2 linked regions of the Oreochromis niloticus genome follow. The protein of the gene in region 1 binds, or shares a complex with, the protein of each later gene. Links are inferred from orthologs where the notes say so. Each region holds a gene or a part of one and is shown on either strand. Other genes may lie near its edges. The genes, in order: gnat1 and pde6gb.

Evidence for each region.
Region 2: the proteins of gnat1 (region 1) and pde6gb are in contact, whole or in part, in a cryo-EM structure (PDB 7JSN), measured with the Bos taurus proteins. The link is inferred for Oreochromis niloticus from reciprocal best matches to the Homo sapiens genes GNAT1 and PDE6G. Residues at the interface, in NP_851365.1 of Bos taurus: Ser140, Arg201, Arg204, Lys205, Trp207, Ile208, Phe211, Asp227, Val229, Glu235, Val236, Asn237, His240, Glu241, His244, Leu245, Ser248, Ile249, Ile281, Phe283, Glu305, Leu306, Met308; in NP_776846.1 of Bos taurus: Arg36, Gln37, Phe38, Lys39, Ser40, Lys41, Pro42, Pro43, Lys45, Leu60, Val66, Ile67, Cys68, Pro69, Trp70, Glu71, Phe73, Asn74, His75, Leu76, Glu77, Leu78.

Annotation. Positions count from the first base shown.
Region 1 is NC_031970.2:17,203,093-17,218,966, forward strand, and holds gnat1 (guanine nucleotide-binding protein G(t) subunit alpha-1), read left to right. Parts: upstream 1-9,905; 5' UTR 9,906-10,066; coding exon 10,067-10,172; intron 10,173-11,209; coding exon 11,210-11,252; intron 11,253-11,341; coding exon 11,342-11,483; intron 11,484-11,578; coding exon 11,579-11,736; intron 11,737-11,836; coding exon 11,837-11,965; intron 11,966-12,071; coding exon 12,072-12,201; intron 12,202-12,291; coding exon 12,292-12,445; intron 12,446-12,529; coding exon 12,530-12,720; 3' UTR 12,721-12,746; intron 12,747-12,842; 3' UTR 12,843-13,691; downstream 13,692-15,874. Other genes in the region: sema3fa (sema domain, immunoglobulin domain (Ig), short basic domain, secreted, (semaphorin) 3Fa), read left to right, coding at 2,532-2,601, 3,429-3,573, 3,666-3,888, 4,180-4,268, 4,402-4,443, 4,866-5,023, 5,204-5,265, 5,371-5,504 and 1 more. UniProt on the Homo sapiens protein: Functions as a signal transducer for the rod photoreceptor RHO. Required for normal RHO-mediated light perception by the retina.
Region 2 is NC_031973.2:3,636,355-3,651,900, reverse strand, and holds pde6gb (phosphodiesterase 6G, cGMP-specific, rod, gamma, paralog b), read left to right. Parts: upstream 1-7,364; 5' UTR 7,365-7,477; intron 7,478-9,244; 5' UTR 9,245-9,325; coding exon 9,326-9,471; intron 9,472-9,566; coding exon 9,567-9,607; intron 9,608-9,692; coding exon 9,693-9,769; 3' UTR 9,770-11,138; downstream 11,139-15,546. Other genes in the region: oxld1 (oxidoreductase-like domain-containing protein 1), read left to right, coding at 400-450, 1,306-1,653; gastrula zinc finger protein XlCGF57.1, read right to left, coding at 15,279-15,546.

The sequences.
Region 1 (15,874 bases):
TAACCAATTACAACTCAGATAATGGCCTTGATGTGTAAAGTCTGCAGGCTTGCGTTCAGCAACATAAAGCACCACCAACAAAACACCCTTCTTCATGCCTGAGTCTTTCAAAACCCGGCTTTGTACACCGTTTGAACTGATTATATTTGTACTTTGCCTGAGTTCAACATCTAAGCCGGTCCACGGTAAATTTTGACAGTAGTATTAAACATTTCATCCAGCGACGGTGCAGGTATGAGCTGAATCTATAGTAGGCCTATCTTGTGCGGTGATGAGGCTTTGCAGATGTTAGTTGTGTGTTAAGAGCACTCAGTGTCTGTGACAGAAAAGCACTCTTTTGTCAGTGTTGCTGTACTTTTAGCGGTCCATCCACTGTACGGCATGTCAGTTGTAGCCTCGGTGCAGATGAGCACTCGTGATGAGGTCATTCTGAGTCCTGAGGTGCAATGTAACATCCCACAGCTCTGTGGTCGCTCTTCCCACAACCACAGACAGTCTGGTAAAAATGTATTCTGTCTCCAGTCCTGCTGGTCCTGATGGAGCCCAGCAGAGGCATCGGAGTGGTTGTATGAGGACTCGGGGGAGAGAGTGGAGTAGATTCAGATGGTGAGGCTAACAGAAGAGAAAGCTTTCAGTGTTTTGCCGAGAGGAGGGAGAAGAGGAATATAAAAGCAGAGAGAAAGAGGCACATAGACATGAGTGATGAAAAATGTCTGCCAGACAAAAAGGAGAATTAATTTGTGACCTATAAGGTTTTATTGCCTTTTTCCAAAATGTAATTATGGAGAGAAATATTCTTTTTTGTTTTCTTCAGTTAAATCTATTTTTTTTTAGTGACTGAACTCCATAAAACAACCTCACTCTTCATGTATTTTTTTGGAGGAGGGGGAGGGTGGTTGTTTTTAAATTTCCCCAGCAATCATTTCGACTGGACATTCTAAGAACACATTTTAGGTGCACATCTTTCAGAGTGGGTATTAGGGAGATAATAATATACAATCTGTCTTTATTTGACAGTCTTTCTTCCCCACAGTGACTGTTTACTGAGTGCATAATTCACCTGCACTTTTATTTTTACTGCACAGCACCTTATTTAGCCCAGCCCTTTGTGTTCTTTCTGCGCTTACAGCAATTAAAGATGTTTCTCTGCTAATGTGATGCTGAGAGCGCCTCAGAGACTCTGTCTGATCTGACACATCAGAAACAAAAGTTTGAATTATGCAACTTGTTCCAGTTCGTCGCCGATTTATGACTTTTCTCTTTTTTACTGCACTCGTTCTATAGCCAGGAGGTCTGTCAAACTGGCGTCGGACGGGTTATGAATTTCTGCAGTGTTTGCCAAAAGTTAATTTTTTGCTTAAGTGGGGAGCCATTACCTGTCATTTTCATACCTTGGCATGTAAGGAGATTTTTTTTTATGTTTGAAAAGATTTTAAACTCCTGATCAAAAGGGAGTTTGTTTATTAAGGAGCTCTGCAGAGTCAGGAATGATGTTTTTATGCAAGCCATGTGGATTTAAGCTTCTTCTTGTTTATCCAATGCACGCTGAGTAAAGTTGAGGGTACAGAGATTAAAGCGTGTGTTATTACATTTCACCTTCAGTTCCACATGCATAACTTTCTTTTCGCTCTTTAAAATGCTGCTTCTTACTTTCAGTCAGTTGATATTTGAGCGAGAAATCTGAGCAGGCGGATCCACACTCTTATTGTTGCTTGTTTTCAGCTTTTCAGATAACTATGGGTTATAAAAAGAAAGGCTAGGATTTCATGGCTATTCACTGAAATTGGTATTTTCTAAAGACTTTTGACTATAGGGTATTTTTTTGTCCAAGGCCTTTTCAAACAAGTGATTTGAGAACTTGTTTCTTCTTTTCCATTGATGAAAAACCATGAAATGGAACTGGGTGTTTTCCTGCTCTACCTGTCTGCATTAAATTTATTTCAGTTTTCCTTCTTATTGTTTTTCCTTGCACTTTTCTCTAATGAAACCATCAGAGGATATGTAGGGCTCAAAACCGCCTCAGTCCCACAGTCACTGGATCCATATGGCTCCTATTAAAGCCATGTTTCACCCGAGATCTCTATTTCACATATATTCCCTGCTGAGGCTCAGGAACTGTAGTTTCAGCTTTGGAAGAGTTTAGATTCAGGATTTCATTGAGACTCTCATAACCGCAATTCATGATGAGCTCACAACGAAGGAAGAAACAGTCTCAGTGTCACAAGTATCATTACTTTGGGTTAGTTAGGTTCATTTTAACAGTTTTATTTTTTTCAGATTTAAACAGGTCAGAGTAGGGAGGAGTATCACAGGAGTAAAATTGTGCATTTGCACTCATTACATGGCCATTTTGTGCATAGTGGTTCTGTCTACTTTTCATGTATTTTTGCCAGCAAACCTGCAGAATGTCTACTAATGCGATATCATTTAACTGTTGCAATCGACTTAGGGATCCAAGTACTTCGTCATGCACTGCCTGTTATGGTTTATGACTCTGACTAATTGCTATAAATCTTTTCATTATCTCGTAGGAGACGTGTATATCCAGCCAACTCAAGACACAAAGAATCCTGTCATCTATGGCGTCTTCTCAGTTTCAGGGTAAGCGTGTGATGGCTTTTTCAAACTCTCTAACTTTGATGCAGTTTTGGATAGAAAGTGTGTTTTGGTTCCCTCCTGTGGTTTTTATTCCTTTTCGCTGAGCCCGAAGGTTGTCTGCTCTGTCTGATGTTGAAATGCGGCGTTGCATTTGTGTGGGCCGTCACATTCAGGATGCAAAGACGAGACAGAAAGTGAATGTGGAGCCCAGAGGGAGTAGCATTCCTCTGGGAGGCTGACTGAGCCTATAAGTTCCTCAGAGGTCAGGTTTGATAGCAGGTTGTCATTCAGCACACAGCATTAAAATTCAAGTCAACCAACCAGACGTGTAAACTGAGATTCTGACGGCACACAAAGCAGGAGGAGGTGCGCGCAGAGTCATAATAAACATGTCCTGATTAATGTATTTGAGAAACAAATACTGTTATTGTTTCCATCTTCTCTTTAGGCATCAGGCATGTTTAAACCCAGCTGATAAAAACACATGTGGTGCTAATGACAGGGGCCCATGACAGAAGTTACAAACATAGTACACCCACCACACAGCGGCGAGAGCCTGTACTCTGGCGATTCTCTGCAGTATGTGGGTGTTTGTATGTCAGTGTGTCAGACAGCTTGACTCTACTTGAGTCAGTTTGAGTGTGTGTTTGTGCGTCATAATGTTTCAGTGTGTTCCTGTAAGTATGTGAGTACGTGGGAAGGAAGTAGATTCTAGCAGCCACGGAGAGCTATCGCACTAATTATCCCAGGGAGTGAGAAAATCTGAATTCTCGAGCTGCTGTCTTTATGTGTTCACCTTTTTTTCTTCTTTTCCTCCTGCCCTCCTCCAGATCTGTGTTTAAAGGCTCGGCAGTGTGTGTGTACTCTATGGCTGACATCCGGATGGTCTTTAATGGGCCATTTGCCCATAAGGAAGGCCCTAACTATCAATGGGTGCCATACACTGGGAAAATACCCTACCCTCGACCTGGCACTGTGAGTTAAAACATATAATATATATGTTACTAGAACCATGAATAAGATAAACAAGTAAATTGCTCAACAGAAATTTTTTGTTTTCTTACTAGTGTCCTGGAGGCACTTTTACCCCCAACCTGAAATCCACAAAGGATTACCCAGATGAGGTTATCAACTTCATGAGAAACCACCCCACTATGTACAACGCTGTATACCCAGTGCACAAGCGCCCCCTGGTGGTCAGAACCAACGTGGACTACGAGTTCACCACAATTGCCGTCGATCAAGTGACAGCTGCTGATGGGAGCTACGAGGTGCTATTCTTGGGCACAGGTAAGTGTTTTAAGAACAAAACTGGGCATTGTCTGATGATTGCACAGTAATCTTACACTCATATCATTGTGCACTGTTAAGTTCTGTGGCCTTGGCTTTATCTGGGAGGTTTGCACGCACATGTTGAAACAATCTGTCTCTTAAACATTAATGAGTCATAGTGTGGGTTTCCAAAAACCAGTTCTCTGTTGCACATATTTTAGAATAACAATGAAGAAACCAAGGTCAAGGTATTAATAGCCAAATAAATCAACAGAGCTCAGCCAAAGTTACTTCTTCCCACTCTTTCAGATCGAGGCACAGTCCAGAAAGTGATTGTCCTGCCAAGAGATGACTTGCAGACCGAGGAGCTGGTGTTAGAGGAAGTGGAGGTGTTCAAGGTCAGTCTTGCAGCCTTAGTCACTTTGCTACTAATCTTTTTGCCCTACTCTACATTTATATATGCCATGTTTGTAATCTGTGATACAAAATAACAAATCCAGCGTTCACATTCTTTTAATTATGTCACTTCAGGTTCCCACTCCAATCACTACTATGAAGATTTCATCAAAAAGGGTAAGTTAGTGTAATTTGATTCAGACCAAATAGTTCAGCTAACAGCAATCAGACAGGAACACAGTCATCAAATTCAATCTAAGAAAAAAATGCATGATTAAATACAAAACATTGTAGTACACAACCAAGACCTGATATCCAACTATACATTTTGTGTAATTTGGTGCAGCTTATACTGAAAACAGACACAGGACTCGAGGGTAGCTTAGAGTATAGCCTAACCCGGAGCCTTCTTATGTCAGTTTGAGGATGATGAAGAAACTCAACGCAAGTAGCTTCAATCAATTATTCATTCTTTAAATATAAATCTATAATTCTTCCTTGAAGCATTAGAGATGTCCAGAATTGTAAAATAAATGGCCTTTGCTCTAAAGTATGTTGCTGTTTTAATTTCTAATTTGTATTTATTTTTCTTTTAACAGCAACAGTTGTATGTCGGATCAGTCCTGGGTGTGACCCACTTGGCTCTCCATCGATGCGATGTGTACGGGGAGGTCTGCGCTGACTGCTGTCTCGCCAGGGACCCGTACTGTGCCTGGGATGGCAAATCCTGCTCCAGATATTCTGCCTCACAGAAGAGGTGAGGGTCAGGATTGTGTAGACAGGGAATATATAAATGCAGCAGACGAAGTGCAGCAACAAAGTATTTGCACTTCATTACTTCCCATCTCTGCAGTTGGAGTATTTATGCAGATGTCTTATTTTTCAAGTGTGTTTCAGTTAAATTTTATATCTGTGGCTTTTGATTTGACCCCTCTAGGCGGAGTCGTCGGCAAGATGTGAAGTATGGAAATCCTATCCGCCAGTGCAGAGGTTATAGCAGTGAGTGTCGCGTTGTACTAAGACTATAGAATACACCAGCATTTTTTCACTCCAGAGCTATCTCACAAATAAAATTGCAACTGTACATCATGTGTTGTTTTGTAGCCAATAAGAACCCTCTGGAGACAGTTCAGTACGGGGTGGAGGGAAGCACTACATTCTTGGAGTGCCAGGCCAGGTCTCCTCATATGTCTCTCAAGTGGCATGTGCAGAAGGAAAACAGTGACCGCAGGAAAGAGGTGAGTATAGCTCTTATATTAAACCTTCTATAATCTTTGTTTATTTTTTTTTTAACTTAAAATCTTTACTGGCCTTCTGTTTGTCCCAGATTCGCTCAGAGGGTCGCATGCTGAAAACAGATCAAGGACTTCTGATCCGCTCTCTACAGTCCTCTGACGGCGGCATCTACCAGTGTACGTCCACAGAGAAAAACTTCAAGCACACTCTTGTGAAACTGCAACTGGTGGTCCTTTCTAGTCGCACAGTCAACAACATTTTGGTGGAGACAGGCAGCCCGGCTCTTCCTCCGCTTCAGTCCAGTGCCTGGACTCCAAGTGCCAGTCAGTATAAGGACCTGCTAACTATCCTCAGCCAGCCAGAGATGGGGCTGATCAACCAGTACTGCCAGGATTACTGGCAACTGGGAGACAGCAGCTTCGGGAACAACAAAGGCAAAAGCCTGAAAGAGCTGAAAGAACAAAAGAAACCTCGTAACCGCCGGCATCATGAAGAGCAGACAACTCCAGCTGAGACATGAGAAGCTTGATGTACATCGTATTCAAACAACCCCCTGTCTACCTTTACACACAACCTCCTAAACATTGCAACCCTCCATTTAGGGGAATGACTCCAGTCAGATAGAAAACTCAAATTCTCATCAAAGACAAGACAGAAACTGCAGAAACACAACGCAACAGCATCAAACAGTTTCTATGTAACTGCTGGGGATGGGGGGGAGGGGGAAATACACAATATTTATTGTAGGTTGTAAAAAGTAATTATTTGTACCTATCTAGCAACCCTGTTTTTTGTGAATAGATCAATCTGTGCAAATATTGTGGTTATTATATTATTATTATTAGTGTTATTGTTTATTAAGATGTGTTATTTTGTTGAGAATATCTTTATGTTTGGTGTTTTTAAGAAACAGCGACACTAAACCCAGACATTGGGAGTATCCATACATGGACAAGAACTGATGGACATGTATTCAGAAACTGCTAAGTGGAGACCATGTTGGATCCTTTGACTGCTGGCAGTATTCAGTGTCTAAGCTGAAAGAGGAGTCGGGATGTCCGCGAACGTCTCGTAAATCTCTGAACTTCTTCACCAGATCTATGTACTGTATATTGGACAGTTTGTTTTGTTTTTTTACTGCAAAGTACAAGCTGTTGACAGAAAAAACAATGAAAATGGCATTTCACAGGACATGCACGGATAATGGAAATGCCCAGAGACTGCAGCTGTGACATCACGGTCGTACAGTTATATGTGAATGAAGAGCCCTCTGTGGCAGGTAGAACGTCTTTCCTTTCACGATGTGGTCCATTTGGGCCTCAAGTAGAGCTGTTACTCATCTTCTTCCAAAATCGTTGCTGCCAAGTGTTTGTTTTGTTTATATGTGAATATCACATCTCAGTGTCGTATCCTTAACGTGATCTTTGTGATAAGCTGTTTTCTTTTGGGGGGGAAAGAGTCTTTTAATGACACAAAAGCTGATAACATAACATTGCCTTCTCTTTTCTCTCTTTGGGAAAAGATATTCCAGCAGGCAGCTATGTGTGAGTTTGTAACAGTTTGTGATTATAAAATGAACAAAGCACCTTCTGTTGTTGAACTGGTCATTTCAAAAATATTAAATACTTCCCCAATATCTGTGGCATTTTACATAGTGTATTCATATAAGGCAAAGCATTCAGTTTGTAGGCTTAACAATTTCTTTTTAGCTCTCTTAATCCATTCCTGACATTTCTATGCTCAATATCAGTTCTCACTAGGTGAATATGTAAAAATGTAATCGGTCTACAAAAACTGGGCTGATGTTCAGAGCTTTGGAGAGTAATGTTTCCGATTAGGGATGTGCTTAATGTATCAACTACTTACCAACAACGATGTTTGCCAGTATGGTTCCGCCACAGACGTCATATAAAAGCACGAAAAAGATTAAATTCTACAAGGTGTCACAAATACAAACACTAGCAAAGCTGATTGCCACCAAACCTGAAGAGAAACCTTTCCCAAAATCTTTAGAAGGTGGCTTTTCATTGTGCATGACATGTACAGTGTATGTATGTGGTATTTGTCTAAAATTCTACATTGCTGTGGATGTCAGTGAATGTCTTTCTTGTTGTGGGAATATGGAAATGTTATGGATGTGGTCACACCTTTTTATGGTGGGAAAGTCTGGAAGGCAAGATTGTGATTTTTATTCTCTCTCTCTCTCTCTCTCTCTCTCTCTCTCTCTCTCTCTCTCTCTCTCTCTCTTCCTATTCTCTTTTGCTCTCAAAAAAATCAGAAAAGCAAATGATTTGCAGACTTTGAGGTAAAGTTATGTATGCACAGTTGGTGTTATTGTAATGACTTGTAAAAAATTATTACCTTTTCTTCCTTATCATTGTTGCTGACTAATAAATTAAAGCTCTATATTTTATAATAACACATGTTCTCTTCTGTTTGCCAATGTTGGCACATAGTACGATATGCTTCCTACCATGCAGGCACTTCTTTCTTCCTAACAGCCTTACAACCATACGTAAGTAAATACAGATGTGGTTGGCACTGTTCTAAAACAATCTCAAAAAGCCCCATGCTCCTTACACTTCAATCATAGTAGCACCAAAAAACGTCTGCACTGGCTTTCCCACCTACTCTGTTACTTTTCAAATGAGTGAAAGTTTTTACTTTAATAGCAGATAATGCCTGGTTCTGCTGTAAAGATCTAGTGGAAATGGTAGTATGAAGAGCTAACCACGCAGTACAAATACTCAGTGAAGTTGTAAAATTAGCAGATAAGTAGACCAACAGCAACATGCTGAAAACACTTCTGAAGATAGCCTTGTAATAGGCCTATACTGTGAGTGTTTGAGAGCTTAGACTATGATATTATATCAGGGACAGCATTGGCAGTCATTGGAACATGAATACATTAATTTTGTGTCACTTTACCTAAAATGTTTCCATAATCTAAACGAGAGAGATAAAAGACCCAAGCTTGAAGCAAGTTTGTGTTGTACCTTGTATCTTGCAACTAATCAAGATCATGTGTCTTTTTTTCCATTTGCAATCTGAGTCCATATGCATGAATACAATGTCAGTCTCTTACTGCCCAAACAAAACAAAAGCTGTATGGATAGCTTAACCACAGTGCCGGTAGCTATTTTCCTAAAAGAGGGAAAAGACCCCCCCAAAAAAAGTTAATAAGGCCAAATTGACCATGTTAACATGGCTAAATGCACTGGGTTAGTGCTCTGGGACTGAGTGATAGATATTTCCATTAACACAATAGTTAACAGGTGTACCTAATAAAGTAGTGGTCAATGTATATCAATAATATTAATCATATTAATAAATAGTACTTTATTTAAGCGTGGTAGTTGATCAGGTATCTTATTCTTTTTATTAATCTTGTGCACTCTTTAGTCAATTAATATAAATTTTGGTAACTAGTATCTGTGGGTGGCAAATAAACCCAACGGAGTAAAAAGTACAAGGATTACTCTAAAATGCTGCAAACCCGAAGTGTAAAGTGGCTAAAAATGTAAAGAAGTGATTAATAAATTTCACTTACCGGTATACTAAAGTAGAGCTCTTGAGTAAATTATCTCATTGTGCTGATTTGCTACAGTGTATTCATTCACAGTGAGTTTATTGTTTTGAGCTCCTCATAAGAGCACAGTAAGATTGCTTTATTGAATTTTTAAGGAAAATGTATTTCATCCGTAACACATCAGTGCACATGCTGTACATACAAGCATGCATAGACAACTGAACGTGAGTAGATTAGGATCCTTAACCAGCTTCAGATTGAGGTCAATGAGATCTGTCGGGTGAAACCCTAAAGCCCTTTAAGCACTTCAGAACTCACCCTTCAGTCTGTAGTATGTAATAAGAAATGTCAGTATTTCATATTTGGACCTGGAGCTGAGCGTCTGGTTGTGTATTTAATTGGCTAATTGATTAAATACAATTGTGTCTTTGTTTGTCTGTTTAAAAACAAATTACAAAACCTTTATCTATCTTTAGTCCCTTAAAAGCACTAAGCACACAACATGCAAACATACACTCATTATCTTCCCAGATTTAATAATTTAACTTACTGCTAATGTGGAATGGATTTCGTTTGGTTAACCAAAACTGCACTTATATAAAACACCTAGCATCACAAATATTTAGCCTCACATGGTCCTGTTTGAAGGCACCTAAAAACAACACAGAGAGATAAGCACTTGAGCCGCTGTTCATCTTCCGCTGAGCACAGCAAAATCCCCATAAAGGTTAGATAGGTTAGATCCTACACTGATGTATGCCCGAGTCTTCCCCTGCACCTTTCGCTCTGCCCTAAAAGCACTCCTGTCCTTGTGCTCTATTGGTCACCACTGATCAGGTGGGTAGAGGATGCCCAAAATCCTTTCCTAAGTCAGGAAAATGCTCAAACATTCTCCAGTGTTTGCAGCACGCAGTTGACTCATCAGCTGCACAGTTGAAGGCTCCGGTCACATTGTTGACGAGCAGCTAGGACCTGCCTCCATTTTTCTTGGCACTTGGCCTTTGAGCAAAGGGGGCCCAAGCCGGGTAAAGTAGGATGGGAGCTGGAGCCAGCGCTGAGGAAAAACGCTCCAGGGAGCTGGAGAAGAAACTGAAGGAGGATGCCGACAAGGATGCAAGAACTGTCAAGCTGCTGCTGCTAGGTAAAGACAGGAGAGCTGGTAGAGCCAAATGGCTAAGACGCATTAGTAGAAAACAACAATATCTGGTTATACATATCTAAGGGCCCATGCTGATGATAATTAGAGCACTTTTAATTCTAATTAAAGTGTAGGAGAGACATTGTATTGCACAGAAGTTCTGGCTGTAGCATGTTCTGTTCGCAAACTTGAGTTTGCAAAGAAAAAACATACAAAACTCCCTTTTTTCTTGACGCAATTTTTTTCATATACTTGATGTCAAATAATCATACAAATAAAGTAGAAGTACTGCTATGGATAGATCTTATTTACCCAAAAACCCTTAAAAACTTACCAAATTGCCTAATTTTAAAACAACTTAAGTGCGTTGATAAGAAGTTACATGTCTGTGTCATGTAAAGGCTTAATCACCTGTGTCCCTAAATTGCTAAGACACCTTGATAATCACTCAAGCCGATCCTCTGTTAATCCTGAAACAACAGGTCCTTCAGCACAAAGGGCTTAACCGTGAAGGACACAGATACCACAAAACCCAAACACAGCCTGTGGCTGTAGCCCTCAAATATATATTAAAATACACTTTATGCAATGTGTCGATAAATCAATGAGAAATGTGCTTGTAAAAAGTCATGTCTGTGAAGATTTACAGTTTTAGATAGATCAGTAGCTTAACCAGTAATTTCATACGCCACACTGTGTTTTGCTGTATAAAGAAATACTGAATTTTTAAGGAAAATCACTCAGTATTACAGTCAGGTATATTTATCTGACAAATAGTCGTGGATATTGTGTGATTTATAGCTTTTTTTGTGTCCTCTAGTAATGTAGGTCAGGGATAAGAAAAGATTAGACCTGAAGTAAGAAGTCCTTTATCTGATAAAAACCATAAGGTCTTCTGTAATTAACACAAAAACACAAAATTAGCACAAAAATAAGGTCAAAATTAAACACTTATCTTTCCCTAGATCCTTAAACATGATTAAAGCATTTTTATAAACATGTCATTTAAACAATTTAATTCTTGTTCTTCTTCCATACAGGTGCTGGAGAATCAGGCAAAAGCACTATTGTCAAACAGATGAAGTAAGCTGACTTTGCATCTGAGCAGTGCTGACCTTCTTTTAGAGTTGACTGTAGATTGCATTTTTTTAATGCTACATTTTTCTCACCAGAATTATCCACAAAGATGGTTACTCGCTTGAAGAATGCTTGGAGTTTATTACCATCATCTACAGCAACACCCTGCAGTCCATCATGGCCATTGTGAAGGCCATGAACACGCTCAATATCAACTACGGGCACTCTGATCAGCAGGTAACCACTGCTGACACTCATTTCCACATACATACGAAGCTAAACAGATTTCATGTTCCTGATAGCTCACTAAACGCACGCATGCCTCCGTGCAGGATGATGCCAGGAAACTCATGCATCTTGCAGACACCATTGAGGAAGGCACCATGCCTAAAGAAATGTCAGATATCATTCTGCGTCTGTGGAAAGATTCTGGCATACAGGCATGCTTTGACAGAGCTTCAGAGTACCAACTCAACGACTCTGCTGGATAGTAAGAAATCACATTTACTCAGGTTTAACATTGCTACATTATTCTAATCTCTTGTATCAGGATGTGTCATTGATTGATTCCCTTTTTCTCCCCCCGGCAGCTATCTGAATGACTTGGAGCGACTGATCCAACCAGGCTACGTGCCCACTGAGCAGGATGTGCTGCGATCAAGAGTGAAGACCACTGGTATCATCGAAACTCAGTTTTCTTTCAAAGATCTCAATTTCAGGTGAGCCGGAGCAATGTTTATCAAGAGAATAAGACAAACAAATCAGCCGCTGGGCTTCCTGTGTGCACGGTGGCAAACAAGGCAACATGCTCCTCTTCCCGTGCAGAATGTTTGATGTGGGTGGTCAGAGGTCAGAGAGGAAGAAGTGGATCCATTGTTTCGAAGGCGTGACCTGTATCATCTTCATTGCCGCTCTGAGCGCCTATGACATGGTCCTGGTGGAGGATGATGAAGTGGTATGACAAGTTAAACTATATACTTGATATTCTTTTATTAGGGTCCATATTTTTGGAAAGTCTCTTCACTGGGATTTTTTTTTCTCCCAGAATCGCATGCACGAGAGTCTGCACTTATTTAACAGTATCTGCAACCACCGCTACTTCGCCACCACCTCCATCGTACTCTTCCTCAACAAGAAAGACGTGTTCGTTGAGAAGATCAAGAAAGCACATCTCAGCATGTGTTTCCCTGAATATGATGGTGAGATAATCATTTCAAATACATATTTAAGATAGTGGCAAGCTAAATGAAAGCAAAACTTTATAATTACACTTTCTCGCCCAGGCCCCAATACCTATGAGGATGCTGGTAACTATATCAAAATGCAGTTCTTGGACCTGAACCTCCGCAGAGACGTCAAAGAAATCTACTCTCACATGACGTGCGCTACCGACACAGAGAACGTCAAGTTTGTGTTCGATGCCGTAACCGACATCATCATCAAAGAAAACCTGAAGGATTGCGGTCTCTTCTAAAAAAACACGCAGAAAACCAGATGAAGGTGAGCAAAGTAGAAAAATTATTTTAAAGATAATTAAGATGAACTGTTGTCATCGGTCACTATGGTTCACTCCTGTTTATTTTTATTTTTTTACAGGGTGCTGGTGCAGCCCTATCACATTTCACAGATCCTTTTCTCAATTCAAACTGAGGCCTGAAGATGAAAACTGCCCCTGCAAGCAGCCATCCTCAAATCAGCGAATGCAAAAAATAAAAATCTATTTCTTGTGTTCAAAATTAAGTTCTAGCTTTGACCAAGGACTTCTTTTCAGATAGCTCCAAATTCAGAAACTTCTGTGCAGATTTCAGATGAGTTGAATTTTAGTTCATCTAACTTTTCTCTCAAGTCTCTTGAACTGGTCTTTGGGGGGGGCATGCAGTGTGTAGTTAAAACATCAGGAGCTTCTGTCAGCAAACAGTGATTTTTTTCTCATGTAATGTGAAAACATTTCCAGCTAATGCATTGTCTCTGTGTTACGGTAAGTGATCAGTGTATGGCCAAAAGGGCAAAGAAGATGACCTAACCACCTGCATATGCACTTCAGCCTCTGTTAGATATTTTAACAGAACCTTTCACTAGAAACGGCTTTTATGTACAAACACAATACAGCAGTTTGTAACATAACTCGAGCATGTCACAAATTGAACTTTTCATGAAAGTGTTAGGAAATCTAACTCTTTACAATAGTTGAAAATGGCCAGTGTATATACTTAAGCAGATTTCTATTGGACAGTTAATTAAGTATGGCGACACCATGTTGATGATATGTAACAAAGTCGAGGGATAGATTTGTCAAAGATTTGTTTAAGTTAATTAAAACTCTGGGCCTTTGAGCCAACAATTCTGTACAGAAACCACTAATTGTATTCCTTGATCAAAGTTATTAAAGCTTCTGTAGAAAACTCAGTACTTCTCAGTCTTTCACAAATTAAAAGCAACTCTGCAGTGTTGTGTTTAGAATCTCACATTTATTATTTTCACTGAATATTTCCCTTAAATCATTGAAACGTGGCATTTTTACAAGTGACCGCCTTTAGTTTTTCATAAACGTTCAAAGAACAGCTCTGCGTTGAAGATTCTTTGCCTCCCTGTAGAGACTCAAGACGAATGTATAACACAAGACTTGGATTTTTAAACAAATATTTTAAAGGGGTTTTATTTAAAAAAAAAAAAAAAAAAAATACAGTAACTATTCAGCAGTTACATTTTTTTATACGTAGATTTTCAGAATCTCAAAATAGAATAATTGACTGACAACTCCATGTCCAAATGAAGCTTGTTGCTTTGTCAAATTAAGCAGAGAGACCTGAACTTGAGTCCAGGGGTTGAAATTGCATTTCATATATTTTCAGTGGAAATCTCAAAATTAGGTCCAAAGGGATCACAATGTAAGTCAAGAAGGTCATTATTAGGCGGAAAATACAAAATAAATGTCTCACTATCTTCATCAGCAGAAAAAAGATCTAAAATGTATTAGAAAACAATTAAAAGTCCAAAAATTTCAGCCATCACCTCTGCTCGAGAACTCAAAAACAGAAAGACAAGATTAGACGTTGCCAGAAAACCTCTTACAGAGCCTGCACAGACAAAAGGTCATAATTTGAAGCCCACCACATGATGAGTCAAACACAGTGGAGGCAATACTATGGTACATGCATGTCTGCCAGTGGAATCGAGATCAGACAGTGCTTCACAGTGAAAATAGGTACTGACCCAAAACATACCGCAGAAGCAAGACAAGAATTTCCCAATGCAAACAAATGAAATCAGTCACAAGATCTCAACCAAATGCAGCATGTTTTTCAGTTACCGAAGGCCAAACTGAAGGTAGAAAGTCCAGCAAACAAGCTGAAGAACTCCATGGGTTTGAGCCTGAAAAAAAAAGTTACTTAAAATCATCCTTGTAGCAATAAAAACTGTTTTCGTTGCAAAGTAGTTAATACTATACGTTGCAAAACCCATTAAATTAAAGCTGAAGGTTCTGCACTTCAATCACATTAAGATTGTATGACTTAAAACCCACTGTGATGGTTTATCCTCCTGAGAACCAGCCTGTTCATTTATGTCCTCTGTGGACATTTGTTTTTGGTCTACATCTTTTGACCCTACTAAGTCCTGACCTCAAAAGAGGACATCTGGGGGTTTCCATTGATATCTCATGTGTTTGGGTGGCCCTTTTTAGCTCCAAAGAGGAAGGAAATCACAAAAGAAGTTCAATGGGAAGATTCCTTTTTCCTCGATTCTCAAGCGTTTACAGAGGCAAAAAGAAAAAAAGTGTCATCATCTTGATCCTGTTTGATGACAGTGATCATCTCTTCTGCCCAAAGGGGCAACCAATCAGGAGAAAGTTAGCTTAAAGAACGGGAGAAGGGAGCTAAAAGAGCTTGTTTCAGAAAGAGGAGGAGCTGAGGGCCTGAACCAAAGCCATTTGATAAATATTGTTTTAAACTGTGAAAAATGCAAAATAACTCTATTAGAGTTAATTAATAAAAATAAGGAGCTGGAAATGAGACTAATAGATCCCCTTTAATGTGTCAGAGCCACAAACGGACTAAACAGACTGTTTTCATTTTGATTAAACAAATTATGTGCTGAGCAGGAAGCTTCAGTGTACTTGAGAATGTAATTTTTTCTCCTTGGACAGAGCAAAGGAAACATTTTCCCTCTGCAAACTTAGGATAATTGCTCAAAGAAACAGTACAGTGGCCTCTTTTAGCAGATTTATGAATGTTCATTTAACTCCTTGGAAGAAAATAAATGTGTATATTTCCTACAACTATTACTTTGAAGTGATTGGGGTAATTTCCTTTAGAGAACTTAAATATCACTGATATAGTGCAGCACATTATCAAAGAACATGAATAGCCATCTCCTACAAATAAAACATTTATAATGTGATGTAATTGTGTAATGCACTCACTACAGTCAATATACAGTCAGGATGTTTGGCAAAAGTGGAAGAAAAAATCTGTACACGAATAAAACATCACAGCTAATTTAAAAAAAACCCCCCAACATCCTCTGTTTATATTTGTGGAAGAAAATCAGTTTTCACAGTATAACTGTACTTCAGTGTAGCCACTCTGTGACCTCGGACAAGCAATTTGTAACATTTGCAAGAAAACTAG
Region 2 (15,546 bases), on another chromosome or scaffold:
ATTATTTTTGTCTTTTAATGTGTGTCTATAATATTTGTCTGGCTTTACTGCCGTTTCTGCTGTTTGTTTGTATTGTAGAATACTGACACCTGCTGGCCAGATGAGGGAAATATTTTTATGTCCCGCCCAAAAACCTAATCAATGCTTTCAATTGGTTTAAATTTTACAAAGCCCCCATTTGATTGGGTGATATGCTGTATGCTGGCCAATCACCGCTTTTGTTTACAACCAGCCTCAAAAGGTCAGAGTTGAAAAATGGGAAGTAATGCAGCTTTAGCTGTTACAGCAGCTAACATGGTAGAAGTTTTAAACTCCGGGAAGGAACAGCTTAATTAAACATTCACTCTGGAGAAAATGAACCACACAGAAACATAACCGCGCGTCCTGCCGGATTCTGCAATGCTGTGTGCGGGTGTTAAAGCCGTGAGGTCGTCGGTGTCATTACGAAAGGTTGGTGGCTAAGCTAACGGTTCGTTTAACAGCGGATGATGTCCGTTATGTTTTTAACACTGGAGTAACTTTACACGGTCATTCGTTTGATAGTAATAATCATTCTTATCTCGAAAACGACAATAGCCTAAAGACACTCATTTAATTAACGGACACGTCCAACTGAGAGGAAACCCAGCAAACACCGGAGAGGTTGTCTCTCTGTGGGTTGGAAAAGCCCCGGTGTCCCTCCCAGAAGAGCTGAAGGACGTTACTTGAGAAAGGTAGCTCTGGGGAGCTCTCCTTAGACTGCCGACCCGAGATAACACAAACTGGAGAGAGGCTGGAGGGCTTTACAGACCAGGATCAAACCTTTAAACCCTGTAAAGAGCAGATAGAAAACGGAGATGCTTGAGAATTCAGTCTGTCATTATTATTATTAGTAGTAGTATTATTATTACCACCATTGTTATTGAGACCATACTAGGATCAACAAGTTACAGCGCCCCGGGCACAAATGTTTTCCTTTCTTCAGTAATTATACTCATATATGAAAGTGTACCTACTGTACATGTACACAGAACAGCTTGATTTTAACTTACTGAATCCACCACAATGCACAGTTTCACTAAAATCTTTACAGTGTCTGATAGGAAATGGAATATTAAGCAGTCAGGGTTTTTATTAACCATATTACTAATTTAAGTATCTTTACACACACACACCTGAAATATTAAGAGATTTTTAATATTTACATTATCATTATTATTACTATTATTGTTATGATTACTATTTAATAGACTAAAATTTAAAGACAGATTGATGTGTCCTCATCGTGTCTCACATGATTTTCACTGGTTCTCTCGCTGTCCTCAGCAGTTATGGACGAGTCATGTTCACAGCGGGATTGTTCACCACCTCCCTGCAGGACCAAATTCGCCTGCTGCTCCTCCTGTTCTGACGGACTCTTCTGAGCCCGCCAACACAGAACAAAAGCGTGACTCTATCTCCACTTGGACCCCTGCCCAGGGTCCCCCACCGCTTCCCACGCACTGCTGCATGAGTGGCTGTCACAACTGCGTATGGATTGAACACGCAGAGCAGCTGCTGGAGTACTACAACGATGGAAGCGAGCGAGCGCTCGTTGCTATTGAGGAGAACGTCCTCGATGAGAACCTTAAAACTTACCTGAAGATGGAGATCAGACTCTTAAAAAAGATGTGACCGTCGCAGCCAAAAACCCTTCACAGGCTGATATTTTACAGCACACAGTGTACCTCCACATTTTCACTCCTCCTTCATCCTGTGGGTCCCACAGTATATGTCTAATTTTAGAAAGATGGCAGACATTAACAGATAAGACTTTGGGTCTTTGATGGTCGTTGTTATGTTGCACTTATCTAATATTTGCTTCAACAAAGCAGGAAAAAAAGGAGTCGCCATCTGGCAGGTTGCTGGAAATCATAAATACTCAGGATAAAAATACTCTTTGATTTTTACTGGAATCTGTTCAGACCTGCTTTGGCCTTTATTTCATTTAGACAGTGCAGATCTGTCAGGATGTCAAGAAATCTCAACCATGAAAGAAAAAACACAAACACTTAAATTTGCAAAGGCTGGAGAAATTTATTAGGAATATCAAATTAATTAATTTGAAAATGAAAGCAACTCATTGTAAAAGAGTTGAGGCAAGAAGTATTTCTCCAAACTTTGAGTGTTTTTAAGTTATCTAAGGTTCCAGCTTCCTGTGTGGCTTCATAGTGTACAGAGAACAGATGGCAGTCGGACCCTTTTAGATCTTGACATGTTCGTTTTTTTCTTAAGGAAGGGTTATTCATGTTGTTCATACAGGGTCCTTGAAGTTCACAGTGTGAAATGTTATTTTTCTGTTAGAACCTTGTTTGTTGGTCCAGCTCAGTTGTGGTTCATGTTCAGTGTCTCCGCCTGACTGTGCTGCTTAATAACCCCAGGGCAGATGTTATCGATGGGGGCGTTCTGTTGCAAAACTATAGAATCATGAAGATGGACTACAAACAGGTCCTCTTAGATTTCTTTGCTAGTCATGCAGGCTGACCAAAGACAATCCAGTGAAAAATAGCACTTTATTACCAAATATTTGTAATAGGAAATGTTATTCACTCTGCTGTCCACTCATACATTTCTCTTGGTGCTTAAGAGATGCTTTTCACCTCAGTGCAAGATTTTCTTTGTGGGTCATATGACTTGTTGGAAGGTATTATTTCTTTTCATAAAGTGTATCTTCTGTTAAAGGAGGTGATGAAGTATTAAAGCACATTTCCTTAGTATTTGGAGAATTCAGTCAGGTCTGATTATTAAGGCCTCACTCAAATCAAAACCTGCCACAACTTTTGTTTCCAACAGTCTGAAGTTGTGCACAGACTGCAGTCCCAGCCAGTGGTCTGCTATAAAGCATAAGATTGCATCATTACACAGTCCAACGATTCTCTACATGAAAGACCATCGTTACTGTGAATAAACATAAAACAAACTAGTCCAGTGAAGAAATAAATAGCTTGAGCTTTCAGGGGTCTGAAACTGCAGCTTTTTAGAAGGTGTGATGAGTTTTTGTCCCTTTGCAAGTAATAGTTGTAATGTGCACAGCATCACGAGCTGACAAGAGGAGCAATGTTTGACACTTCAGGGATGTCTGAATTGTTGTCACGTGCTGTTTGGTGTTTGATTGGTTTGCATTGTGTCTTTACAGCATTTGCACATTTGAAGCATCAGAACAACACTTTGCCTCTCTGTATTTGAGTTTATTTAAATTATATTAGAAATTAGTTTTAATCCAATGCTTGTTAAATAAATATTTTTTATTTACTGTCAGATTCAGAGTGCTTTATTTTTGTGCAGAGAGTTGGTGCTCACAACCAAACATGCAAATAAGTTCAAGCCTGAAAAACTTTAATAGCCCCTGTAGCCACAAGGGGGAGCTACATATGCATAAAACTGTCTGCTGTACTGGGAAAATGAGATATATGACCACCTAACCTGTTTATTTCATCATCATGTAATTTTATCCAACCAGCTCCAAGTGTTTATACTCTAATGTGATTATAGTCAGAATATTTAACAAGCATAAAATCTTTGTGGCTTCAGGAAATCAAACTTTGTTCTTATTGATATTTACAGTAAGTATGTAAAACACTGCATTGTTCTCGTGTTGTTAATGAGATTTAGATCCCTGCAGGCTTCTTCTCTGATGTGTCAGAGAAGAAGCCGATCACGTTCGGTCTTGCCACCTTAATGACGTCTTTAGTTAGCCTTCTCCCAGTCCCTCTGGACCAGTATCTGAGGTGACAGTGACCCTGATCTCACTGAGTCAGCATTAGTCCAGTAATAGTGATGCACTATAAGTCCTGATTACTCAAGGTCCAGTGCTGCAGCTGCAGCCAGCCATACAGCGTGCAGAGTTACGCTTTGATCTGGGTTATGCAGCGGATTAAGAATGAGACGTTTCACTGATCATATGTAGAGCAATGACTCTGACGTGATGGAAAACATTCGAGACAGATTATTGGCTGATGCCGAGGCTGCAACATGACACTTTGCATCATTGCAGTGGGGAAGGTTCTACGAACAGTAAGCTGCAAGAAGTCACAAGTTAGCGCTAAACAGTTTTCTTTTTTCAGTTTCTTTCAAACTGCCATAAAATTGGACCTTTCTGTAGTTTAATAAAGGCAGAGTGCCTGTAGCTCTATACAAGAACTCGTCAAGAACGATGTGTTCACCAAACGTAGTCAGATTCACAGGTGTGGGTAGAAAACATTGCATTTAAACTAGTCAGTGATAAAACTGATAACTTGAAAGAATTAAATGTTAACTGCAGATGAGTTCAAATGTATAAAACTGTGTCGTCTGCAAAGACAAGAAAGAAATGTGCCAAAAATAGGGCCCCGCCGAACTCCGTCAACAATCACTTTTCTTAAAGGATCCTAAAATCAAGCTAATATTGAACCAAAGAGGAAAGATTATGTGATTCATTGTGATTCCCTTTTTCATTAATTTTTACATTTAGATTTGTTTTTTCAGGATGTAGAAAGCGTGGCCAGTACTCTCCCACATTAGTGTCTTTAAATCTAGAGTGTCTTTAAATCTAAGTTTCAGAGTTTAAGTAAAATCCTTCTCCTCACATGCAACGTCTGATCCCATCACATCTTAAAAATCTTATAGCCCTTTTATCCCAACAGAGCACTTCCCTCTCAGAGTGCAGGATTACTTGTGGTTCCTGAAGTTTCTAAAAGTAGAGGCAGAGGCAGAGCTTTAAGGTTTCAGGCCCCACTGCTGTGGAAGCAGCTCCCAGTTTGGGTTCAGTCAGACACCTTCTTTACTTTTAAGATTAGGGTTCAAACTTTTCTTTTCGATAAAACTTCTAGGGCTGGACCATTTGACCCTGAACTGTCCTTTAGCTTAGGCTGCTGCGGGATTTCCCATGATGCTCTTCTGAATCAGTATCTTCTCAATTTGCCTCTTTTATACATGTATATACCATGACTGCACATACTAACATTTGTCTTCTCTCTCTTGCAGTTTGTTATTTGTCCTGTTTACCTGCTCTCCTTTTTTTTTTCTTTTGTCTTTTTCTTATTGTTTATTAAATTTTCACTTAAACTTACATGCATTGTTTTGCAGGTTTCATTTAAAGGTGAAGGTCAGTATCAAATGAGTGAAGGATTTCTTTAGCACTGCTTTGTGATGGTCCTTCTAGTTTAATTATTAAAAAAAGTCCGAGCTGCTGTTTGGGATGTCTCCACATTCAGTATGTCTCTAGCATGTAGATACGAGCTGCTGATGTTGGCTTAGTCCCCTGTTTAATGAAGAGTACCCCCACTGCAGGGTGTTACACTGATACACACAGACAATGTAAAAGATTTCTGTGGGTTGGAGGATTGGAGGGTTTCGCCTTAAGCAGATGGAGAGATGATTGCATAACAAAGATGGAGTGGGACTGTGGGGCTTTCAGGAAGCTTCCAGCTCCATCTATAATCTGTTTGAACATATTGTAAGCTGTGTGATCTCATCCTGCATCCTACTGACTCAAATCACTAATTTAATTAGCAGTACCTAGAGGATTTCTAAAGACATTTCTGGAAAACTTCATTACAAATACTGTAAAATACATAAAGATCATTTTTATATGGCAAACTGCATTTATCACAGAGCATCTTTCCTCCACAATCTATCATTTCCAAAGTGATTCTGGAAGAAATACTCAGATCTTCCTGATGCTTAGAGTTCAGCATCAACCATTTACACATGAAACAAGGAGCTCATTAAACAAAACTGTGAGGCTCTGTTAGACAAACACTGCTCTAGAAATAACTGCAACTAATAAGTAATACATAGATGAATACAAGCATCTATGTACTGTCATGTACTGTACTGTAATTTTTAAAAATCTTTATATTAATTTACAAGATAAGTAAATTAAGTAATTCACTCTGATACAAATGCCTTCATCATTTTAAGCCATTTAGTGAGGTGCAAGCAAAAATGCTGTTATTACCTGAGTTCTGCATCAGGACTGCAACAATTTTCCTAATTTGATCAATTTGTTAATTATTTTGTCCAATTAACTGCTATTATTCTCCAGCTATATAAGGGACACTTCTCTTATTTAACCTAATCTAAAATCCCAAACAGCATTCATCGTTGCATGCTGTTGGAATGCTCTGATGGAAAAGGGAAAGCAGCTGGTTGTCACTCATTACTTGATCAGGTTTAAGCAACGAAAGCATTCAGTTTAGGAGGTGCAGGAGGAGACTGTGGCCTGGGTTTAAATCATGGATGTAGCCACAGTAACGTGACCCACCGGCAGCCTTAATAGCATCACGGGGTTTTGGGAACCAGGCGTTACTATAGAGGGACATGCTAAGTTGTCAGCTACATTTGCCAGTTGTCTTATAATATACAGGTGCAGTGCACAGACACATTTACCTGCTAATTGGTCCTAAGTAACAGGCTAATAAAATAGTAGAAAATCACTGACCAAAACTGAAGGACGAACTTCAAAACATATTATTTATTAGATAATTACCACAGAAACGCTCAGAAAGTGAAAGGTCTTAGCTGACTGCTACCATTGAATGTGTTAATCACCGTGGCCTCATGTATGAATTTAAGGCTTAACAAAATCAATCAGGTGAGTTACAAAAAGGGAGAAACTATTCATAGAGGCCAAAACTTTGTAGCAGGCTGTAAACATGTTTACTTCTGCTTTAAATTTGCACATGGACACTAGAGGTACCACATTTCTGTAATATCTTCACTTTTCTACCATGATCCTTAAAGGAAAGCATTGAAACGGTAGCAGCGAGGTTTTTTACAACAGGCAGTCTTGGTCATGTCTTTTTGAAAGCATCAGTATTTATGTCCTGAATGGCACAAGGCTGGTTTGGACATATTGTGAGAAAGAACTTGGTGAGTGTAGATCAGTGGGCATCAATAATTTTAGTTTGTTTAAGTATGTTGTGTACAAGAATATCAGCTTTAGAAACCGCAGCTGCCAGATAAATATAATGCATTGAAAAAGTGCAAAAAATCAATAAAATCAGTTTTTAAAAAAAACAGATAATTTTTCCCAGAATGTTATCTTTTCTAAAATTTCTGTAGTGTAGCTTCTGTAAATATTAACATTCAATGTATGGTTACAAAATATGAGAAAACATCTGTAAGACAATAATAATACGAACAATTGTATAATTTCACAGTGAAATTTCTCACTGAAATGTTTGAAGTTGACTGTAAATGTGCACAGTTATTCTCCACCGCTGTTCACAACGTGCACAATCCACTTTTACACCTATGTACACATTACAGTTTAACCTAAACCTCAAACATGTGAACTGTTGACAGTCGAGAAGGGAGGCGGTGCCTCCGTAATCTCCCGCGGGTGTCGGCTATAAGAGGGACCACAAGCCCCGACTGGCCCTCACAGCAAGCCTAGCATAGAAGTCCACTCATCTGCTAGACGGATCAGCGCTGCGCTCACACCCACTCGTCTGGCTGTTCTTCACCCAAGCAGCCGGTGAGTAGACCATCATCACCGATCAGTGCTGATATTCAGACACCGTCTGGATTTAATAGAGCGGTGGGAAACTTTGTTGCTCTTCTGCAGCTGTGTGTGTGTGTCAGTGAAGAACGTGGGTGTTAATATTTGTTTCTTTATTAGGAGAAAATAATCCAGATAAAAGAGTTTAGAGCTCCAGAAATGATCACGCTTGGGTATAAAAAAGTAAACAGCAATTTGTGGTGTCGTTTATAATGTGATTAAACGTGACAGAGTAAATTAGTGCAGATGTTTCTGTAATCTATAGACCGATGCTGTTTAACACTCAGTTATCAGTTATTTAAAAACTGCCTACAGTGCAAACTTACTCCAAACATGGATAAAACAAGATGTTGTTTCATGTACAAGTTTTAGTTTTATTTATTCACCTGACAGATACATTTATCAACAACCTGGACAGAAAAAATATTTAAAAATGATCTCACAACAAGGTTCACTTCGGTTTGGCCTGTTTAAAGCTGTCAAAAAAGTTTCATTTTAAAATTCTTGATATTAAAACTGTGGCTCAAACAAAAGCAGATCTCTGAATATGTGATATGTGATTATATTCAACCCACACATATTCTTTTCTTTGCCATGTTTTTGTTCTCAATCATAATTTTCTGTCTTTAAGTGTTTTACTTTTATATTAGTTGTTTGCCTTTGCTTGTTTTTATTTATTTAAATGAATATCAAGGAAAGACGTCTTGCCCATGTGTATTCAACATGTTAGATAAATCGATAGTTAAGGTAATATTTTTTATTTGAATATCAGAGAACGATAATGTAACAGATTTTTTATTTTTGTTTCATTAAGTGTATAAGTAGATTGGTTCAGTAAAAAATGACTTGATCACCAAACGAACATTTTTGCTGATGAAACTGAGAGCGCTAAAATCTGACATTATCAAACAGCAGTGTTAAGGTTTTGTACTTTCCCCCCTTTTTTAAATCAGTTGATTTTAATTTACTTTCTATATTTTAATTTTGTTTTTTCTAATTGTCTAAAAATATTTGCTTTTGTTTAGGTTTAGTTTTTCTTAGTTTATTTCCCAATTTTCTTTAAATCCACAGGGCGTTTCTCCAGGCAAAATTCAGAATTGAAACACAAACATTTCCATTAAAGCCTCCTCAGACAGGCTGTGATGGCAACTTTGACCAAACTGGCAAAAACTAAAAATCAGGACGTTTGTTGCTTTGTTTGTTTTTGTGTTAGTTAGCATTGTGCGTTAGCTGTAATAACCTTGGTATTTATCCAGTATAACCACATTAATGGTTAAGACCTGTTCAGGGTTGTCTGTGTCATTACATGGTGAGCGGATTTAATCGTTTAGACCTTCAGTGCATAGCTCAGCGTTTCTGCAGCGGTGTCCTTGCTTTAACAAGATTACGAGTTCACCATCAGCTCGAACCAGAGAAGGAGAGCACACGTATTAACTTGAGCCAGGGATTATGGGTAATTGGGTCATCCCAGCAGGACAAGCTGCAATGTGGTCCACCACATTCAGGTGCTGGGAAATATGAGAGTGTAAATCCTGGCAGGTGCTCATCAGATCTGTAATAGGATTATAGATGGTAATGTCAAATAGAGGTGACAGGAGCTGCGTGCTACCTGTGACATGGTTAGAGTTTTAGATCATTCGCTGCTTGACACTAAAAGGATTTACAGATAATAACCTAGTGAGAGTTTCTCTTTATTTCTCTGTTTTTAATTGCTTTTTTCCCTTGTTGTTCCCAAAAATAAAGACTTCACCACCACGACTACACTTCAGAGAGGTGTCTAACGCTAACAGCCTGCACACACGTTCTCATACATAACAGCTCAAAATGAATCTTGAGCCACCCAAAGCTGAGATCAAGTCAGCCACCCGCGTCAGCGGAGGCCCCGCCACCCCACGCAAGGGACCCCCCAAGTTCAAGCAGAGGCAGACTCGTCAGTTCAAGAGCAAGCCTCCAAAGAAGGGAGTCCAGGGGTATGCTCTGAATACTTTTCTTCTTCAGGGTCTTGTAAAAAACTAAATAAATCAAATCAAGTGATTTGTAATCATCACAATTCTCTTCTTTGCAGATTTGGAGATGATATCCCTGGAATGGAGGGCTTAGGCACAGGTAAGTGTATGCTAGGGTTGACACCATTGGCTTTAGTGCTCTGCAGGGTCCTGAACAACTTCACATCTGTGCTGTCTTTTTGCAGACATCACTGTCATTTGCCCGTGGGAGGCCTTCAATCACCTGGAGCTGCATGAGCTGGCCCAGTATGGTATCATCTGAGCCTTCCCACATCTCCCTGCAATCCCCTGAGGATTACAGACCACCTTCATGCACTTCAAACCATCTGCCTCAGGATCCATCTCCTATCTTTATGTGGAACTACTGAACCATTATGAACTGTAACAAACACAAAAAAATGGAAAAAGAGAAAAAAAAAAGCCACACAAAAAAAACTCTTTCTCTTTTCTAACTCTGGATTCTTTCTGTGATTCTGCAGCTCACACACATCTGCTCATGTTTAGCGTCTGTTCTTTTTAAAATCTCACCACTTCTCGCAGTAGACCTGCACCGTCGCCCGGCCGCTCTCCTCTCTTTCACTTTCTCTGTCTCTCTCCTTCCTTTTTCTTCTTTCCTGTTGTCCTCGCGGACAAAAAACAAAACGAAACTTACGCAAGCAAGGCAGCCTCAATTTGAGTTTAAGTGACAGACCCGTGAAGTGGGTGGGTTCCCATTTCATGTGCTTCGGCGCCTCTCTCGCCATCTCAGAGGCTTTTTCCATCGACGCCGAATCTATAAAACTCTAAACCTGAATTCTGTAGAGAGCGGACACCAGCTTGCTATTGCTAAGCATAACATTTCAATGGGATATGCGTTAATCAGATATCCCTCTTTTCCCTCTGTTTTGACCTTTAACTGCACCCATCTTCACCAGAATGCACAAATCTTCACCCTCATGGTATCTGGAAGTCTTCTGTTAGTTATGGCATGTGAAGAACAACCTCTCACCTCATTTTCACAACACAAACTAAGAAATAAGCCGCTTTAATCTCACCTTAGCAGATTTTAAATGTTGAGGAAACCAATTTCTTCTCTTCAACTACCAGGAGTGTGAGTGTCTCCATCATTTTCCACACTTTTGTACTCTGTTAACATTATCGCTATTTGTATATCTCCCATATAAATCAGTGTATATGAATCTATGTATTGTATATTTAATACGTGTTTATTTCTAATACTTTCACACACCACTACTGTGCCCTGTGTGTGTGTTTGTGTATTTGTGTTTTTGAGCTCATTATTTTTAGCTCTCATTTGTTGGTCTCATGTAGAGTAGGTTGTACATTTTTCCTCACTGTCCATCATTCGGTATGATGTTTATTTTATTTCAGCTCTACAGTCCTCTTTATCCCTGTCATCTTTTTGGCCCTTACCCCAAACTTGTGTCTTTCAAAACATTAATCTAATCGAGACAATGCTGACAAGCTTTGACGATGTAAAGCTGGTGGATGCACTGTAGTAGTGAAAAAGATGGCAGAGGGATGAGTGGGATGGATGTTTCAGTACAGATCTGAAGACATGTGTAGTGGAGCGTTGTCCTCTCTACAGGACGAGGGATAAAAATAAAGCATAAAAAGAGGAAAATAAAAAACGGTGTATTCGTTTTTTTCTAATCACATTCTTCTGTGGAGGATTTAGCTTGGATTTAGACCTATTATGCATCTATTTACAGCAGGTACACGCAGGGGGGAAACTTACACTAAAGCACATTTAAGTATTACTGTATTACCTCATGATTAGTGTAACATTTTTCACATCCATTTATATTTAAGGTAGTGCAGATGCAAATAATAATTCTGCACATGCAGGACTGAGTTGTTGACTTGAAAATATTTGAATCGACTGCCATAAATTTACTGGTGACAGGACTAAATGCACATTAAATCACAAAAAGCCATCCTGAGAATATGAAATCCACATGAATATGAATTCCAGAGGAGCAGAAAGACAAAAAGAGACCTTTTATTATTATTATTATAAAGCACAGCATACAGATAAAATGGTGTGAAGCGACACTATTTACACAGAGTGGACACGGGTGAAAACATGAGGATCATGCTGGCAGTTACGAACGAAGAAGTGGAGAGAGGGGAAGACAAAACTAACAGATCTGAGGTTAATAACAGGAAACTCTGGGAAAACATTAACATTATGCTAACATAAAAGGAAGAATATCAATAAAAACAGTGACCCAGTTAACAAGAAACCAGGACCCCAACATCCACTTTATATTTTACTTTATTGGTCACCCTAGTATCGTTATTATGTAGTGAATACACTTCATGATAACAATTTAAGTTTTAGAGTTTATTAGTGTGTTTATTGGAAGAAAATGACGGCTAATGTAATTTCAATTGATACTTTTGTAATGTAGGCTGTTTTTGGTTCACTTGGATATAGTAAAACATTAAAAGTACTTGGGGGTATTCAAGTACACTTCAAGTGTCTTGTAGTATACTCAGTAATCCTTCTTGTGCTTTAATACAGCATTGGATAACTAAATCTTTGAGGACACTGTGACTAAAAATAAGAATAATAAGTTTGTACAGTGGTCCCTCGTTTATCACGGGAGTTACGTTCTAAAAATAATCCGTGATAGGTGAAAACCGTAAAGTAGTCAGCTTTATTTTTTACAATTATTATAGATGTTTTAAGGCTGTAAAACCCCTCACTACACACTTTATACACTTTTCTCAGACAGTAATGAACATGTTCACACTTTTCTCTCTTGTTTAAACACTCTCAAAGTTCAAACCTTCCTAGAAGAATAAGTCTGGTATTACGGAATGAAATAGAATAGAGCAGCTGCGAGAGAATTCAACATTAATGAATCAATGGTACGGTAGTAGAGGAAGCAGAAGAATGAATTGAGAAGAAGTTTGACTGATCTGACGGTTTTGTTTCGCTTAATGTGCCTTTAAATCCAGAAAATACGGTAACTTCTACCTTCCTTTAGCATGTCCAGAAGTCCAAGTTTTTGTGCGATGGTTAGCATCTTCCGCAGGTGCCTTTGACGGTGCAAAACGACATTGTTGTGTTTGTTGGGGAGAAAACTTACAAACACACAGTACAGCACTTCAGAGTCACACTGCTAGTGATCGAAGATTTATGTAAATTTGACAAGCTGAATGCTTTCTGTACTGTACAGGAGACACGGCACGAGATTGATTGACAATGGTCTACAGCCAATCAGTGCGCAGAACACAATGCGCTGTTTTAAAAAAAAGAGCATGCAAAATTGCACAAAAGAAATCCGCGAAAGGTGAACCGCGTTATAGCGAGGGACCACTGTACAGCGATGCGCTTGGTTGCCTACTTCTGTCTCTGCCAGGTATTGGTTGGGTGGTGCTGCTTCAATTTAGGATGCTCGGACATTGCATACACGCTGATGTCCTGACAACCATTCACACTAAACGTTTCTTTACTTTATTTAATTGGACAATTTAACAGCATCCTGAGACTGTGTGGCCTAAACTCACTGTAGAACCCAATTAAGAAGCTAATGTAGTGAGCTCTCTTCTTGAGGCCTTACTATGTGGGTATTTCAGAAGGAAAGATAATGTAATGCTTTGTCCTGGACACAGCTCATTTGGCGACAGTGGAGAGGAAGAACTTAGTTTGAACAGGAAGAGACCTCTGATACAGCCTGGCCTCAGGGAAGAGGAGTCATCTGAGTGAGTGGCATGGGGGTGATAAGAAAGAGAAAAAAAGTTTATACCGCAGGTAATCTGATGAAATTACATTAATTTTACTAATCAGTGCCCGGCTGAGCAGCACTGATTACCGTCGAGCAGAAACTTGGATAGTGATAACATTTCTTTCTCCATTATGATTTAACTGTTCTTACATAGTTTGACATAAAATTAGCTTTAGCTTATGCAAATAATACACATAAAACATGAGTCTGTTGAAAGAATGGTGGTTTATTTTATTTACAGTTTTGATGTGATTTATGTTTCTTTTGTTGACCTGAATGAGGTCACTATCTCGATTTGTCAGTGAAATTTACAGTAGTGCAATATTTGCTTAAGAACCTGGGATTACATGAAAACGGTACAAAGACAAGTTATCAAATGTTAAGAAATTTTATTTGTGGACCTGAAGTCTACATCAGCCTCAGTCCATCAAGTCCTCAAAGGAAATTAGAAACACAGTTGTCTTATACAAAATATTTATCAGGCAAATTCACCTTTAAAGCCATCATGAGTGGTTACATTGCATAGTAAAAAATAAATCTGGGAGTAATAATAAAAATCATAATACTGGTAAACAACAAACTGTGTATAAGGCTGAAGGAAGGAGTATTATACATTTTGATCAACACTGAAAGTACACTTTTTCTCAATATAACACTTTATTTTTAGCAATCAAGCTACACTTTCCTGCTGTTAACAAGAGAGAAGTCGAGACGCTTTTCTTTCCCTGGTCCTTAGAATACGATGACCTGGATGACTCTGAACCTTCGCAGACATAGTCCATCCATCCTTTTTCTTAACCACTTATCAAATTGAAGGTGACAGAGGGCTGAACCCAGTATTAATCTTATTTCTGTTACTAAATGTACTGCTCAAAAAACATTAAAGGAACACTATGAAAACACATTAGATCTCAACGGGAAAAAATCATAATGGATATCTATACTGATATGGACTGGAGTAATGAGATAGGAATGAAAGGATGCCTCATTGTTTGAGTAAATGAAAATTATCTAACCTACAGAGGGCTTAATTCAAAGACACCTCAAAAATCAAAGTGAAAAAAAGATGGTACAGGCTGGTCCATTTTGCCAAGGGCACTAGGGCACCAGTGTGGACCTGCCACGCTGACAGGCAGTGAGCACAGGGCCCACTAGAGGACTTCAGGCCACCCTGATGAAGTCTCTCACACCAGTGTCCTGCTGAAGATCATTTTGTAGCTCTGGCAGTGCTCATCCTGTTCCTCCTTGCACAAAGGAGCAGATACTGGTCCTGCTGATGGTTTAAGGACTTCCTACAGCCCTGTCCAGCTCTCCCAGAGTAACTGCCCGTCTCCTGGAATCTCATCCATGTCCTCGAGACTGTACTGGGAGACACAGCAAACCTTATGGCAATGGCACGTATTGATGTGCCATCCTGAAGGAGTTGGACTACCTATGTAACCTCTGTAGGGTCCAGGTATCATCTGCTAAGGGTAGTGACACTGACCCTTACCAAATCCCAAAATAGTGAAAAAAAACAATGAGAAAAAAGGAGGGAAAATGACATTCCTAATTGGGGGTTGCCTCATCATTGCCCCTGTGGTGCACCTGTTGTTAATTTCATGAACACCAAACCACCTGAAACTGACTAATAACACCCTCTGCTATGACTGACCGAGTCAATATCCCAGTGGTTTAACTGACTTATTTCTATACTCTGCTTAAAAAGTATTTCTTTAACTTTTTTGAGCAATGTATTCTTAACTTGTAAAAGTTGTTTCACTCATCATATGTTACTGGGGAGAATTTACTTCTTTCCATGCATGTTAACTTTTTGTCAGCATCATCATTTACCTCATCTTTCTCTAGGATATTTTCCCCTTATGCATTTTGTTTAAGCTTCAGAAGAGAAACTAGTGGAATACAGCAGACCTGTCTGAGAGGTATCAACCTACACTCTCAGTTATCTCAGTGCCATAAAGGAAATCCACTGCTCTGATCTGCACCAACACACTTTAACACTGCATGTAATCTTTTGGACAAAACCCTGTTACTTTACAGTTTATATCGTGTGTGGACCCTCATGTGTCTCTTCAGGGTTCCCTGTCGTGAAAATGTTACGCCGCAGACATCACAGCCAAATGGTTTCTCTCCTGTGTGAACTGTCATGTGTGCTTTGAGGTGTGTCTTTCGCTTAAATCGTTTTCCGCAATCGTCACAACTAAACGGTTTTTCTCCTGTGTGGAGTCTAAGGTGTCTCTGCAAACATCCCTTTTGGCTAAACCTTTTACCACACTTATCACAACCAAATGGTTTCTCTCCT